2 linked regions of the Alligator mississippiensis genome follow. Each later gene encodes a partner of the first gene's protein in a complex. Links are inferred from orthologs where the notes say so. Each region holds a gene or a part of one and is shown in the gene's direction. Other genes may lie near its edges.

The links. The genes of interacting proteins can lie anywhere in the genome.
Region 2: the proteins of RAN (region 1) and RANGAP1 are in contact, whole or in part, in a cryo-EM structure (PDB 9B62), measured with the Homo sapiens proteins. The link is inferred for Alligator mississippiensis from reciprocal best matches to the Homo sapiens genes RAN and RANGAP1. Residues at the interface, in NP_006316.1 of Homo sapiens: Asp18, Gly20, Tyr39, Val40, Ala41, Thr42, Leu43, Gly44, Val45, Glu46, Glu70, Lys71, Leu75, Arg76, Tyr79, Asp91, Thr93, Ser94, Arg95, Val96, Thr97, Asn100, Lys123, Asp128, Arg129, Lys130, Lys132, Lys134; in NP_001265580.1 of Homo sapiens: Ser29, Gly58, Asn59, Thr60, Asp86, Thr89, Gly90, Arg91, Leu92, Arg93, Ile96, Asp121, Ala123, Phe124, Gly125, Asp127, Asn151, Cys152, Gly153, Met154, Gly155, Arg189, Asn190, Arg191, Gln217, Asn244, Asp245, Asn246, Thr247, Asp273.

What each region holds. Positions count from the first base shown.
Region 1 is NC_081833.1:9,574,741-9,582,655, forward strand, and holds the start of RAN (GTP-binding nuclear protein Ran), read left to right. Parts: upstream 1-4,911; 5' UTR 4,912-5,037; intron 5,038-5,350; 5' UTR 5,351-5,357; coding exon 5,358-5,393; intron 5,394-7,422; coding exon 7,423-7,507; intron 7,508-7,599; coding exon 7,600-7,725; intron 7,726-7,915. UniProt on the Homo sapiens protein: GTPase involved in nucleocytoplasmic transport, participating both to the import and the export from the nucleus of proteins and RNAs. Switches between a cytoplasmic GDP- and a nuclear GTP-bound state by nucleotide exchange and GTP hydrolysis.
Region 2 is NC_081827.1:97,402,945-97,410,541, forward strand, and holds the start of RANGAP1 (ran GTPase-activating protein 1), read left to right. Parts: upstream 1-4,585; 5' UTR 4,586-4,694; intron 4,695-7,184; 5' UTR 7,185-7,235; coding exon 7,236-7,347; intron 7,348-7,597. UniProt on the Homo sapiens protein: GTPase activator for RAN. Converts cytoplasmic GTP-bound RAN to GDP-bound RAN, which is essential for RAN-mediated nuclear import and export. Mediates dissociation of cargo from nuclear export complexes containing XPO1, RAN and RANBP2 after nuclear export.

The sequences.
Region 1 (7,915 bases):
TTTGTGACCATTCAACCTCATCATCTCTTGGGGCGCTCTGGTGAACAAACGTTCCCCCAGATACTGGTGGTCACCCCTGATAAACTTGTAGGTGGCCATCTGATCACCCCTGAGCCTGCGCTTTTCCAGGCTAAAGAGCCCCAGGGCTCTCAGCCTGTCATCGTAGGGTCTGCTTCCCTGACCTCTGATCATGCGCGTGGCTCTTCTCTGGACTCTCTCAAGCTTCTCCACATCCTTTTTGAATTGTGGAGCCCAAAACTGTGTGGATGCAGTACTCCAGCTGCGGCCTCACCAAGGCCGAGTACAAGGGGAGAATGACGTCCCGGGATTTGCTTGAGAAGCATCTATGGATGCAAGCCAGCGTTTTGGTCACTTTACTAGCTGCAGCATTGCACTGCAGGCTCATGTTCATCTTGTGGTCAATGATGACCCCCAAGTCTCTTTCTTCCATAGTGCTAGCCAGCGTAGCACTGCCAAGCCTATAAGGATGCTGCGGGTTTTTCTTCCCAAGGTGGAGAACCTTGCATTTATCGGTGTTGAACACCATCAGATTCTCGTCCGCCCACTTGCTGAGCCTGTCCAGGTCAGCCTGGATCACCCGCCTGTCTTCTGGTGTGGATGCTTTGCCCCAAAGTTTGGTGTCATCGGCGAACTTGGCCAGTCCGCTTCTGACTCCAGTGTCCACATCATTAATGAAGATGTGGAATAGTATGGGTCCAAGGACAGAGCCTTGGGGGACCCCACTGGTCACAGGACACCATGATGAGTGACTTCCATCGATTACTACCCTCTGGGTCTGAACACGGAGCCAAATTTCCAGCCAGTGGATCGTGGTGGACCCAACGCAACAATTGGCCAGTTTCACCAAGAGGTGATCATGAGATACCAGATCGAAGGCTTTTTTGAAGTCAAGATATAGGACATCAATCTCTTCTCCCTTGTCCAGGTGATAGGTCACCTGGTCGTAGAAGGAAATTAGATTGGTCAAGCAAGACCTACCCGCGACAAACCCATGCTGGCTATCCCTTAAGATGTTGGCGTCGGCCAGTCCATTAAGGATGGCCTCCTTAATAAACTTTTCTAAGATCTTCCCTGGGATAGAAGTCAGGCTGATGGGCCTATAGTTTGCCGGATCCACTTTCCTCCTTTTCTTGAAGATAGGCACCACATTGGCCTTTTTCCAGTCTTCAGGCACTACACCAGAGCGCCGAGAGTTTTCAAAGATCCGTGCTAGAGGCTGGGCAATGATGCTCGCCAGCTCCTTGAGTACCCTGGGGTGTAGATTGTCAGGGCCGGCTGACTTGAAGGTATCCAGCTTCTCAAGATGTTCCTTCATGAGGTCAGCATTAATGGAGGGCAGGGGATCACCCTCACCCGGAATTCCCTGTCCCGTAGCGGGCATGGGCGTCCCATGGGACTGTTGAAAGACCGATGCAAAGTACCCATTTAATAGGTTGGCTTTTTCCTGGGCATCAGTTGTCAGTTGCCCCATCTGGTTCAGCAGGGGTCCAACGTTGCCCCTGCTTTTCCTCCGGCTCCCCACATATCTGAAAAAGGACTTTTTATTGTCCTTGATGCTCGAAGCTAGTTGGAGTTCAGTTGCAGCCTTGGCTTTCCTGGTATGCTCCCTGCAGGACCGGACCAGTGCAGAATAATCCTCCTTGCAGGTGACTCCCATCCTCCATCCTTTGTAGGCCTTTCTTTTTAGCCTCAGGAGGTCTGCCAGGTCCCTGGAGAGCCAGGGGGGCTGCTGTGCCCTCTTGCTGCCTTTCCTCCGAGATGGAATAGACTTAGTTTGTGCATTGAGGATCGCTCCCTTGAGAAGCAACCACTCTTCTTGAACTCCCCTCTCCCTGTGGTCACGGTCCCTTAGGGCCTCACTGGCAAGCCTCCTGAGCTTGTCAAAGTCGGCCTTCCTGAAGTCAAGGACTTCCGTGTTGCTGACTGACTTGCCAGCTTTTTGACGGATGGTGAAGGTGATCAGCTCGTGGTTGCTGTCACCCAGCTTCCCATCGATCACTAGGTCGCCGACTAGGTCATCCCCAGTAGCCAGTACCAGGTCGAGCAGCGCTTTGCCTCTCGTTGGCCCATAGACTTCTTGAGTCAGGTAGAGGTCATCCATGAGAGGAAGCTTTGCGACTGCTCAGATTTTGCTGAGCGATCCTCCCACGAGATGTCTGGGTAATTGAAGTCACCCATGACAACCATGGTCCTGGAGCATTGGCTGATGGAAACAGCCAATCAGAGTGCTCCAAGTGTGGGGGAGCGTTGTCATGATTTCAAAGCCATGCCGAGGATTGGACAGAGGGTGGGGGAGCTGAGGGCAACAGCATTGGCCTTGGCTCTCCCACCCTGCTCCCTGCAAGTCGCAGAAGAGTGGCAGCATGGGTCGTTAGGTGAGGGCGCTCCATCCCAGCCCCACCCCCCCATCATTCTTGATGGGCAATTGGCTAGTTAATTATAATAAGTACTTTGGAAGGGATGTTTATGCCTTAAGATTTAAATCAATATTAGAGGATGAAACCTCATATGTGAAGGGCAGATTATCCTGCAGCTGTCCTCCAGGGTTTTCAGTAAAATCGTTTTATACATTCCTTTGAGACGTCTGGAATTGGCCCCTTTTAGACTAGATGAACCTCAGGTCTGATCCATGAGGAGAAACGTTATGTTCCTATTCATTGACAAAGGGGCTCCTTAGAATCCGCGCTACAACATCCCTTCCTGTTCGTCAGCAAGTCTTGCGTGTTCTCTACCTCTCAACCTGTATGATTGGATGAAGTCGCATTTACTTTTTTCAGTTTATTATTCCAAGAAATATAGTTGTGATTTTTACTGTGTATTTTGTTAATTAAGATCAAGTACTGCACTTGATATGTAAAGCATTGTAAAGTATTTAATAAGTTTAACTAGCTTATTTAATTACAATGTGACTATTATGCCCGTAGTAAAATCAGTTAATTATTTCAGAACAATATTTGGGGAATCTTACAAATGGCTTTTAACCAATATAAAGTGATCGACCAAAATATTTCCTGGAAGTATCTGTATCCTTGTCAAAAGCTGCAACACTTCAGTTAGTTTATAAGGTGCATCTCCACCCTGACTTCTGCCTGACTTTAGGCCAACAGGGCTACTACTTCTCTTAAGTCTACAGTAATGTGTTTTATGGTCTCAGCTCTCGGAAGAAAGGTTTGATTTAATGATCTCATTACAGGGGAAGAGAAATATGTAAAGTTGTGATATTTTACCAAAAGAAAACGGAAATATTTTTCATTCGTAGTGGAGTTTTATAGCACACAAAAGCTGCAACGGACTGCAAGGTCTTTTTTCAGATCTTGATTTTAAACATAGTGAACATCATAGGGTTAATAAGAAGTAGCAGACTATGTTTGTGCAGCCCAAGGGATCTGAAATACTTTAAAACTTCATAGGATCACAGGAAAGTAGGGCTGGAAGGGACATCACAAGGTCATCTAGTCCGGCCTCCTATTCAAAGCAGAAACACTCCTGACTAAACCATCCCAGCCAAGTGTCTGTCTAACTTGCCCTTGAAAACTTCCAAGGATGAAGATGCCACAATTTCTCTCGGCAGCCTGTGCCAGTGCTTGGCCACCCACAGTGCCAGAAAATCCCGACTAATCTGTACATTTTCCCTGCTGCATTTCGAGGCGTTGCTCCCAGTCCTGTCCCCTAGGGCAGCAGCTCTCAACATTTTGCACCTTACGTCCCACCAACCACTTTGTCAAAAAACCCTGGTCCCACCGCGATAAAAACAAAACCCCACTTTTTTTCCCCAAGAAGTGTATTTTTACGTCTACACGCACTTTAGGGACATTAAAAATTGCAATAATTTTGTTGAGAAAAGTCCCACCTACACATGGGCAGCGGTCACAGGGAGCTCCTGCAGGCAGCCGCGGCAGTGTCAGTGTCAGTGGGGGTGGCAAGCACGGACCAGCCGCCAGCGACCACCCGCAGACACCACCAGCAGCGGCCAATAGCAATCCACGACCGCCTACAGACGCCGCTGCCGGTGGCGGGCAGCGACTGCCCACCGGTGCTGCTAGCGGCGGTGGCGGCAGCCGATCGCAGGGGTGCACCACCCATCTCAGGGGGTGCACATGCACCCTGTGCACCCTCTACACGTCGCCTGTGACCTTCACGTCCCGCCGGTTGAAACGCTGCCCTCGGGTCAAGGAGAAAAGCTCGTCTCTCTGCCCCCTCTAGGTGCCCTGCAGGCGTTATGCACCCCCCCCCTCAGTTTTCTGGGACAAAAGTTTCCTAAACCAACTTGACCCGAATCAGTTAAATCTGTTACCACGTGCAACCAGGTTAATCTTAAACCCGTTTCAGCCATTTTGAAGCTGGGTGCCGCGCACGGAGCTGCTGTTCGGTTTAGGGTGGCATCGCGGAGGACCGTCCGGTTGTCCATACGAACCCGGACGCCTTGACATCCTCTTATTTACCTCCCCTAACCCAAAGCCTAATTCTTCCAGTCTCTTTCCCTCAGTTTCCTGTCATTCGTGCCCTGTCCCCCCTAGCTTGTTGTGCGACATCTCCTATCGATTGCATTGCTTCGTGCCCCCCTTCCCCAACGGAGGGAAATCAAACGAGCACGGGGGGCACAACCACAACGGACTGAAGGAGCATCTTGAAGGACAAGGAGGGAGGCCATGAGAGGAGACGACTGGGGGGGTCTGAGGAGCCCGCCGAAATAAGAGGGCGAAAGGATCCAGTTCTTTTTACTGATTGTACTCTCCCACCCCGCCGCCCTGAGGGGGCTTCACGGCGGGCTCCCCGCGCGCGGGAAAAACTGAGGGGGAGAAGGGGGCGGGGCGCGACCAACGAGCGCCAGGCGGCGGTTGGGCTGGGCGCGCGGCGCATGCGCGGGGCGGGCGCCGGTCACGTGAGCGCGGCCCCTCCCTCGCCCGCCCTGTGTCCGCGCCGCGTCGCTCTCCGGGTATTTGAATCGCGCTTCCGCCATCTTCTTCCCTGCGTCCAGTCACGGAGCCCAGCGCCGCGGACAGACGCCTCGGCAAGGTAACGGCCGACCCCCTGCGGCGGGCGGGCGGGAGCGCGGATGGGGCTGCGGCGGGGCCTAGTGCGGCCTGCGCCGCGGTGAGGGGGAGGAGTGGGGGAGGGGGAGGGAAGGCGGCTCGGCTCGGCACGGCTGTGCTGTGCTCAGTCATGGTGGCGGGAGGCCCGCGGGGGCGCGGCCGCCATTGCCGGGCTGTGGGGCGGGAGGAGGATGAATGGGCCCGGCCGGACAGGCGCGGCGGAAGGGGCGGGCGCGGCGCACGCGGTCGGGCCTCCATCGCCCGCCGCCTCACTCCGCTTCCGTCCCCTCCCGCAGACCCAGCATGGCCGCCCAGGGAGAGCCCCAAGTGCAGTTTAAGGTAAGGAGCCGCCTCTCCCCCGCCCGCCCGGGGCCACCTGCTCTCTTCCCTGAGCTTTTTATCTTTTCGGGCGGAGGGGGAGGGGTACGGCTCTTTTCTTTTTCCTAGCTCTTCGTTTTCATTCACGTTTTCCATCCGCGGCCGGGGGGACGCCGCAGTGCTCCTCACGCTCCTGGCTCGCCGGATGTAGACGTCTCCGTCGCGCTCCTCGTAACCCGGAGGAGTTTAAATCGGGAGGTCCCGCGCGAGCCGCGGAGGAGTCTCAATCGCGTTTCTTTTTTTTCTTTAACCCATTTTAAATTAAGGTGCCCCTTGGGAGGCTGCGAAAGCCACGGAGGAGTCCCGATCGTGTTTCTTTTTCTAACCCACTTTCAATTTGCGGCCTTCGAGGGACATCCTGGAGCTGCCGGACGAGTCTTGATCACGTTCCTCATTTTACATCGGGGCGCCCTGTGGAAAGCGGCGCAGGAGTCTTGATCGCGCTCCTTTTTTAACGCGAATCAGTTAAAGTTTAACATCTCCGTGGCTTTTTGTGGCTTTCCATGGGGCATCTTTAATGGTTTGTGGTTTTGAAAAAAAGAATATGAATCAAGACTTGTCCAGAGGAAGGTTACAAAAGCCATGGAGGGGTCTTGATTGACGTTTTTTTAACCCGAATAATTTTAAAGATCTTTGGTAGAAGGGTACAAGAGCCGCGATCGTCTTGATCGCGTTCCTTTTTTTAACACAAGCCAATTAAAAAGATGTCTCGTGAAAGGCTACAAAAGCCATGGAGACCTTTAATTTTAATGGTTCACCTTAAAAAAAGGAACACGATGGAGATGATCATGGCTTTTGTAGCTTTCCACGAGACACGAGTCATCTTTTTAACTTCAGTGTTAGAAAAGGAATGGAAAATCAAGACTTCTCCATAGCTTTTTGTGGCCTTCCACAGGGCAAGCCATGATTTTTTGGCGCACTTTTTTTTTTTTTTATCATAAACCTTTAAAACTAAGATGTCCAGCGGAAGGCTGTAAAAGCCATGGAAAAATCTCGATTTGAGTTAAGCTCTCCACGGCTTTTGTAGCCTTCCATGGGACAAGTCTTGATTTACGTTCCTTTTTAACCTGAATAATTTTAAGATGTGCCGTGGAAGCCAGAAGTCTGTTAATGGAGCTCATCCTGATGCCTTTCATGATTCAAGCTAAAACAAAAGATACAATAGCTGACACGGACCAGTCTAGCACTACAGTATTTCAGTGCTTAACCCACATTGACGAACCCAGCCAATTTCTGGGGTTTTTTTGTTTTGTTTTGGTTTTTGTTTTTTTTAAGAGAAGAAAAAATTGTTCTAACATGCATTCTTCAGGCTAATAAAAATAGTTTGGAAGTGCTAGTCACTGACCTGTCTGCCCTTTAATCTGGAGTTTCATAGACATTAGGGCTGAAAGGGACCTTGCAAGATCATTGGGTCCAGCCCCCTGCCCAAGGGGCAGGAAGTCAGCTGGGGTCAAAGGATCCCAGCATATAAGCATCCAAGTATTTCTTAAGAGTCCAGAGTAGGTGCTTGTACCACCCTGGGGGGAGTCTATTCCAGGCCTTGGGGGCTCAGGCAGTAAATAAGTTTTTCCTTCTGTCCAGCCTAAAACGGTCTTGCATGAGTTTGTGATCTTGTCATCCCTAGCGCTCTGGTGAACAGGTGTCCCCCCAGGTCATGATGCACAACCCTTCAGTACTTAGAGGCTGCCACCAAGTCACCCTTGGATACTTAGTAATGCATAAGTGGCAGAACCTAATTTAAGACTAGAATATGACTTCATGTAACAAGCACACAACACTAAAGCCATTCTAAGAAGTAAAATATATTAGTCAGGCCATATTTGGGAGCTCCTTAAGTGAGTGTCTAACTAACCTTCCTTGCCTAGAACAACTTGTAGGGCCTAGAGTTGTAATTTTAAAAAAACTACCTAAAATTGACTGATGCCTCAGTAGTTTACAGGAAGCTCCTAAAACGTGTTGCCTTCATCTGTGTTTTGAAATCTTTCAACAGCTTGTCTTAGTTGGTGATGGTGGTACCGGCAAAACAACATTTGTAAAACGTCATTTGACTGGTGAATTTGAAAAGAAGTATGTAGGTATGTTTAAACATTTGCATGGAGAATCCTAGTGCTAGTTTAGTTTAAAACACTGTTGGCAGGCTTTTTAAAGTGGAAATGTTTTATTGCAGCAACACTGGGTGTTGAAGTCCATCCTCTGGTGTTTCACACTAACAGAGGGCCTATTAAATTTAATGTATGGGACACGGCTGGCCAGGAGAAGTTTGGTGGCCTGCGAGATGGCTACTATATTCAGGGTAAGTTTTACAAACACTATTCATTAGCTTTGCAGCAGACTTCTAGGTATTTTGTCATCTTTGACAGCTTTGCAAAGTTGCTTGTGCAGTGGACCATTGCTTATGCATTTGGTGTGACATAATAGTAACGGCATTTAAGTTGACTTGCTCTTCAAAACAGTGCAAGACTTCTCGAGGCAGACTTTGCCCA
Region 2 (7,597 bases), on another chromosome or scaffold:
ACCTATGCCTGTCTGGACCTGATGGCAGCTGGTCTGGTTTGGGACCATGCAATTGAACAGTTCATGATCATTGCCCGGATGGGTTCTAATCTGGGAACTGATGTTTCAAATACAGGATAAGAGTTCCATTCCAGGAATAGGACAGCCCCAGAATTTGGGACTGTCCTGGAAATTCTGGGACTGTCAGTTGATTTATCTAGTGTGGACTCAGTCATGTGGTGCAAAGGTGCCTTAAAGGGTTATAGCTATATAGGGAAAAGCATTTTTTTTCTATCTGTTTCATGACTTTTAGAAACAGCTGCAATCCAGTTGGTACCCCTGAGTTTTCCATCACCTATCAGGGAAACCCCTCTTATTCACCTCAAGTTAGTTCTTATTCAGACTTTCCATGTGGACAGTGCTTCTTTTATTCTGGATATTTTATTCATTAAAAAGGCTTAATTGTTTCTTCTGTTTAGCCAGAATGAAGGGTGTCTGACATACTTATCTATATCAGTGACTCTGTGATTGTTCATAGATTGAAGACATGCTTGCCGCTAGCCACCAATGCTTTTCCAGCATATCATTGCTGATATAAAAAAAAAATCATGCCTTTAAACCCAGATAAGTAAACCAGTAAAAGCCTGATCTTATGTTGCCCTGCTCAGGCATAATATGTGTAGCTTTCAGGAGCATAGTAAATTGTCACAGCATTGTCTAATCTTGCTGTTATTATCTTGAGTCATGTAAAAAAATTTTTTTTTTCTTAAAGCCTCTATTTGTGAAGTTATTCAAGAGTAAATGTGAGGAATGTTCCCATTATATGTTAGGGTTAAAGAGCAGAACAAATCCAACCAACCCATTAGCAATCTCTGTGCCTAACAACTGGGTTCATTGTACAGTTTGCTGCAGTTGTCATTTGAAATAAAACCCATGTCAGTGTCTGTGGGTAGCAGCCAAAAAAGATCATCCCTACTGGAACAAGTTGAGGAGAGCTGTGCCAAGTGTATTTTACCAGGAACTACACTGTTGCATAGTTTATACTTGTGTAGCAGACACTGCTTTTCTATTGTAAAAAAAATAACACAGATATACAAAAGTCAGAGTTGGAAAACAAAGTTTAAATGTGACAGAAATTCTACCAGTTCTCTGGATGCCCATTTTTCCTGTCATGCAAGCATGACAGCAAAATATTAAATGAATTATTTTTTTTCCAAATACAGAGATCTGTAGAGAGATCTGATTTACGATTTACTGAAAAAATGTTGAGTAATGGATCACTTTCTTCAGGGAACGCTACATACCGGAGGAGCTTGTCTACTCTGTCATATTAATTCATCATGAGATATTTATGTATATTACATTGTAATGATTTTGAAAGATCATTGCCTAATATAAAAAATATTATCACTATTGACTTGAATTATGATGACATTTGTGAACATGACCTGGAGACCAATTAATATCTTGCTAGCCCTACTGCTTGTGACACAGCCACCCCTGCCAGCTGCCTATCCTCTCCAGTGCCCCAGCCCTCCCTGCTGTGTAATGAGGGCTGTTCTCAAGCTCACTTACTGCAGCTTCTGCTTACCCTCCTCATTGAGTGCTGTAGATTCCTGTCACCAGTGGCAGTGGGGAGTGTCAAATTTGGCAGCAAAGGTAAATGGAAGGTGTAGTAGGCACAAAGCAGCCATCAGTACAAACCAGGGAGGGCTGAGATGGCATCAGGTAGGGCATTGAAGAGGGGATCAGTGCCACATAGCAGAGAAATTCATGACAGAGTGGGAAAGGTGCTCTCCACTGCAGGCCAGATCCAGTCTCTTTGCAGGCTGAATCTGGCCTGCAGGTTGAATGTTGCCAAGCCTGAATTGAGAAAATTTAAATGAAACTAAGAAATAGCAAATAAAAAGTGGCAACTGTGCAGTCACTAGAGTTGTATGGATCAGGTTTGCAATTCTGCTCCTGTTATTGTCTCCAACCTTCTGCACAAACAAATTAGATCAGGCATCAACATTCCCATCTCTCCTTCAACAGTTTATATAAATCATTGCACTGACTCCTATGGCTTGCCTATGGGGGAAAGGCAGCATGAAATAAGAGAGTTGTATTAGTCTGGAGATAGGCAGAAGGCAGGGGAACGCAACACCTTAGAAACAAACTTGTTCTGAGAGGCACAAGCCTTAATAAGCAACTCCCTCCTACATCGGATGCAGATTAAGTAGGCTGTCATCTATGAAAGTTCATGCCTCTTTGACCCAGTTAGTCTCTAAAGTGCTGCCCTGCCCCACCTTCTTCAGAAATAAACTCAGGTTTAATTTTAAAGCGTACGAGCTGTTCCACTCCAACCCCCTGCGTTGGATGGTCTTGTTCCATGTATATATAACCTACCTTATGTTCTGCATGTTTGGCTATGGCTATGTTCTATAACAGTAAGTTTGTGTATTCTTTAATTGCATACCCTCATTAGTATGCATGTGTGGACTTCTGAGGGCTATTTGCACCTGTTGGTGGGGCAATTGTCAAGGGCAGGTGGATCAGATTTTGTGTCCACGGGCCTTCTACAACTGTGAAGTTTGTAGGCACACACGTTGCTAATGTAAAGTTACACAAAGGCCACTGAAGGGACAGCACTCACTGGGACCTCTGCAAAGCTCTGCAGTGGGCCGGTTCTCAGTTTGAGTAATGTGTGTGTATATTTGTGTGTGAAAAGTGAATGAGATTCCAGGTAGGTGTTACTCCCTGGCTGATGTTGTGGTTCATCAAGTCTTTAAGGGAAAGGGCTTCTAAACACAAGTCCTTATAGCAGGTTCAAGCAAAAACCTTATACTCTTTATAGTTGTAAGAGCTGAAAATCCCCAAGCCTTCTGTAGCAGTACAACAGGGTCTGAAAAAAGCTGAGGTTGCATAGGTGACCCAAAGAGCCCCAGCAAAGAAGTGGTGATTCCTAGCAATAAAAGCCATCTCTTGGTGGTAACAATGGAGTGGGGGCATCTCCTGGAGACAGCAACCCAGAGTAGTAATCCCTAGAACAGGGTTGGGCAAAATGTGGCCCTCTAGGCCATTCTAGCCGGCCCGCAGGGCCCCTAAAAATGTAGAAAATTAATATTTATCTGTCCCTGGCTTACCAAAACTCAGTAAGTCACCCTCTGCCCGAAATAATTGCCTACCCCTGCCCTAGAAGCACTTGCCTGGGCCAGAGCAGTGATCCCAGGCAGTAACTCTGATGAGGTCCTTCTTACACAGCACTTCCTGCTTTGGCCGGCATAGGTGGCAGAGCCCCATAAACCAGATTAGCAAGCCCTGGCAGCAAGGAATAGCAGGCAGATCCAGGGCAGGTACAATTGTACCCTCTTTGATTCCTGCTGCACCCAAAATCTAGGTAAAAACCTTAACTCAGGTATGGTAATATTAACTCAGGTGTAGAAATGACTGATAGTGAAGACACTGGCAAGCCACTCACAGAAGCTAGTTTTAGTTTATAAATCCACATTGCTTGTGCAGATTCAACTGTGATGGCTGCAAGACTAATGACAGTATCTTTGGACTCCTACTTGCCTAGTTGCTTGTTTTTAAAAACTCGATATAAACTCTAGCAAATTAGTGCACATTCCAATAGCTGTAGTTGTTTCTGCTTTGAGCTTAAACTGAAAAATAAAGTGCTATCCCCCCCCCAGCATAGTCAAACTTCTATTTTCTCCAGTTAAGGAGAAACATGTGCATTGCATTGTGTGTGATGATGACACATCACATCACCTGTCCTGTCCTGTACCCAAAATCTACAGCAGGGCCTCCAAGGTGCACCTTCTTATTGCTAGGTTGGCTGGTATAGTGGTAGAGCTCCTGAGGGAGGATGACTGCTGGTAGCTCCCTTGAGTTTTTCTGCCAGTGACTAGGGTGTCTCTTAGAGACTCATTCCAAGAGGCACAAGCTTTTGGAGGCTCCTTTATTGGATGCAGATGGGAACTGCTTTGGTTCTGGTTAAGGTTCTCTTTAATGTGCAGTGCTAGGGGAGCTCCGGTTGGGTATACAACCTTGCTGTTACACCCCTAAATTTGCATCCGGGCCCTTGCTCTCCCAGGGCCTGGCAAAACGTCAGCCACCCTTAGCATAACCCATTATGGGGGAACAAGGGCTATCCCCTCCAGCAATAGGCCCTTGCACACACAAGCCCGCCCCAGGTAGCCAACAGTGCTGGAAGCTCTACAGCACAACACTCAGGAACTTGCACCACTGCATCTGCTCGAGGGAGCAAAAGGGAGGAAAGGTTCTGGAATCTCGAGGCACCACCCCCAGTGCGCACGCAGTCAGCCCAAGACCACGTGATCCAGATTCGGCCAAGAAGCGTTAGCCGTGCGCAAGGCATGGCGGGATTCTCGGCCTGTTCACTCCTCGCTCTCCGAGCCAAAGAAGCCTAGTCCTACCAGGGCGCTAGAACTACCCTTCCCAGCCTGCCTCGCGACAGGGCGGCCCGCGCGCTACCTCACGGGATTCGTAGTCCGCCCCAGCTAAACGACAACTCCCAGCATGCGGCAGGGGGGTGGGGGAGAACAGGGTGTGGAGCGCGGCGCGCCTGCGCCACGAGGAGCCCCGGGAGCCAATCAGAAAGCGGGAAACAAAACTGCCGGGTTTCAAATCCTCCGCCTCCCTTTTCGCCATCATCTGCGGCGGCGGTGGTGTGACGGGTCGGAGCCGGGTGGCCCCCACGCGTGGTGGAGGTGAGCCCCAGCGCGCCCATTCGGGGGTCCCCCGCGGGGGGGCTGTCCCTTGCCGACGGCTCGATTCCCTTCTCCCCGCCCCAGTGTGCGGGAGGGTTTCCTCTCCCCCCCCACCCCGCGCGTCACCTGCAGTGCCCCGCCCCCCCCCCCCCCCCCCGTGAGTCATGCCAGCCGTGCGCTGGGGCTGTTGCGTCACAGCCCCCCCCGCCTGGGGGGAGGGCAGCAGCGTGGGACCCCCCTGTGGGGCTCTGGAGCAGCCACAGTTCTTGGGAGCCCTTTAGGGGCGGAGGAGCCCGAGGGTGGGGGAGGTCCCTGGGGCATACGTCTCCAAGGAGGGGTGTGGGAGGGGAGGAGGGGCCCTGCCCCGATGAGGGGAAGGAGCAGGGAGCCCAGGCTGCGGGGTGCGAGGCTCTAGAGTAGCACTTCTGACCCTGGGGGCGGGCACGGCCTGCCCTCTATACCCCCAGGTGCCTTGAGGCCCTTCCGAGAGGGCGGCAGGGTGGCACGTAGCACTGGGTGCTGCAGAGTGATCTGCAATATAAAGCCTGGCATTGTGGCCTTTCTGCGTTCCCTGAAGCACAGCTGCTGCTCCTGTTTCTTCTGGCCTCAGAAAAGCAAAAATGAGGATCTGGCCCTTCCCAAGAGAAGCCCCATGTCTAGCCAGGGGAGCCTCAAGCAATGAGTGAAGGCGAAGAGCTGGCTCAAGGCATCCCTAGAAAATCGTCAGTTATTCGCCTTCACTCGTTTCTTGCCCCCATGGCAAAATAATAAAGCAGTTCTTCTGAAAGACCCCAGCATGTCAGAGTGGTTTTGACACTGGGTTCCTAGTTAAAATCTCTTGGTTTTTCTTTCGGATCACATGCTATTGTTTGATCTGCTTCTGGACTGGCAGAGGTTGGAAGAATTTGGTGGCAGAGCGTCTGGGTGGCCTGGTGTAGGAGTGAAGTGTTTTGGGCCATCTCTATGCCTGCAGCAGCAACAGAAATAGCAGACATCACAAACAAAAGCAACAGCAATCAGAACATAGCAGCATAGCAAAGCATAAACAAACAGCACAAAAGCACAGCAGCTTAGCAGCAGCAAAAAAACAATAGCAGCAATACTACAGCACAAACAGAAATCCACAGCAACTAGAAACAGTGGCCATCTCTATGAGCACTAGCATGAGTGGCATGAGTCTGAAGGATCCATGTCCTAGTTTTTTTTGGTGTTGATAAAACATTGGGATGGAAACTGAGCAAATCCCATGGCACCAGCTTCCTTTTTCCCATCTCTAGGTCCAGAGGGAGTATTAAAATACATGAATGCTGGTGAAAGGTACTGGCTTCAGTGTTGGGGTGAACACTTTTTCGTAGCACCATGGAAGGTTGGTGGTGGGGAGAGGAAGAGGATGTGTCAAACTCAAGTTGGGGAGTTTGGCCCAATTTTGAAAGTCTGTGTTGGGGAAGAGGCTTTAAGGAGACAAAAACTTGTGTGCATATGAAAATCTAGGCTGGGTAGGAACTGACTGGAGATGTTAATTTTTCTAGTTGTTAGAGTAAGCTTTTATCCCTGTCAGCCTGTTTGAAACCTGATTTATGGTGCAAGAGATGAATAAATGACACTTATCTAATCTCCAGATTACCGACTGAAAATGCAGCATAACTGCTGCTTAAGGTGGTAGCCTTATTATTGCACAGATTGGGCTGAGCCCTTCCATTACATAAGAGTTAACATCCTTACTATCTGGGGGTTGTTTATGTCAGTATCACTCTTAACTTGTTTCTATGTCACCTGTTTTTAAACTAGTATTCTTATTTCCTTACTAGGCTCTTCCATAGAGGGCTATTTCCCCCCCCCCCCCCCCCCCCCCCCCCCCCCCTTCAACATCACTGGTGGTAAAGAAAATTCTGCCACTTAGGAGGGGCCCTTCAAAAATCCTGAGGTGCCTTTGTACCCAGCTTCACTGTTGCCTTTTTAGTAGCAGTTGAGTAACAGTCTAATTCCAGAAAGGTGCTGATGTGAGTACTAGCAGGGATGAGGGATGTAACTGGAAAGAAAATGTATCCATGTTCATTCTAGCTTAGTTTAAAGAGAAAATAAACATGATGGACTGATCATGGTTACTAATAAATATTAAAGGATATGGCTATAGGGAGAAAGCAGTAATCCCTTTCTCATTCTGAAAGAGTGCTCTCAAGAATAGAGTGGTGTCTTAATGGGATCTTATTAAGATCAGTCCCAGTTCAGTCTTATTTATGGAACTTGATGACTCCATTACAGTCTAAACTTTAAGTCTAAACTCTTCTCTGCAGAGTTGAATTTTCAACAGCATCTGACAAATGTCTTTCAAAACCTGACAGCAAGACTTAGATTAGTGTTTCATGCCAAAAAAGTGGAGGGATAGGGGCAATGCTATTTTGAGCTGATATTTGTAATCTAGGGTAAGCTATTTCTTAGAGGTTTAGATGTATGTTTTTTTGTTGTTGTTTTTTTTTTCTTTTTTTTCAGTGATTCCTTTTTAAAACTGGCAGTTCTTGAAGGTTGGTGAAGCACAGAAAAATGGCATCTGAAGACATTACTAAGTTAGCAGAGTCGCTTGCAAAAACCAAGGTGGGCGGAGGGCAGCTGAGCTTCAAGGGCCAGTCTCTGAAACTCAACACCGCAGAAGATGGTAAGAGGAAATGTGCTGTGGAAGTGTTTCTTTGGGCTCCTGCACTACTGTTATCCCAAATCTGTGCTTCATAGTGCACCTCCTTCCAGTAAACCCTGCATAATAGAGCACAAGGGTCAGCCACCTGGGAAACAATAAGCAATTCCCTCCCCTTTTTTTTTCCTGCTAACTGCCTCCAGTTTTGGTACTGGTGCTTCAGCCAAGGGACACTGTCTTTGACTCCCTAGTCTATAGATACTAGAGGTGCACT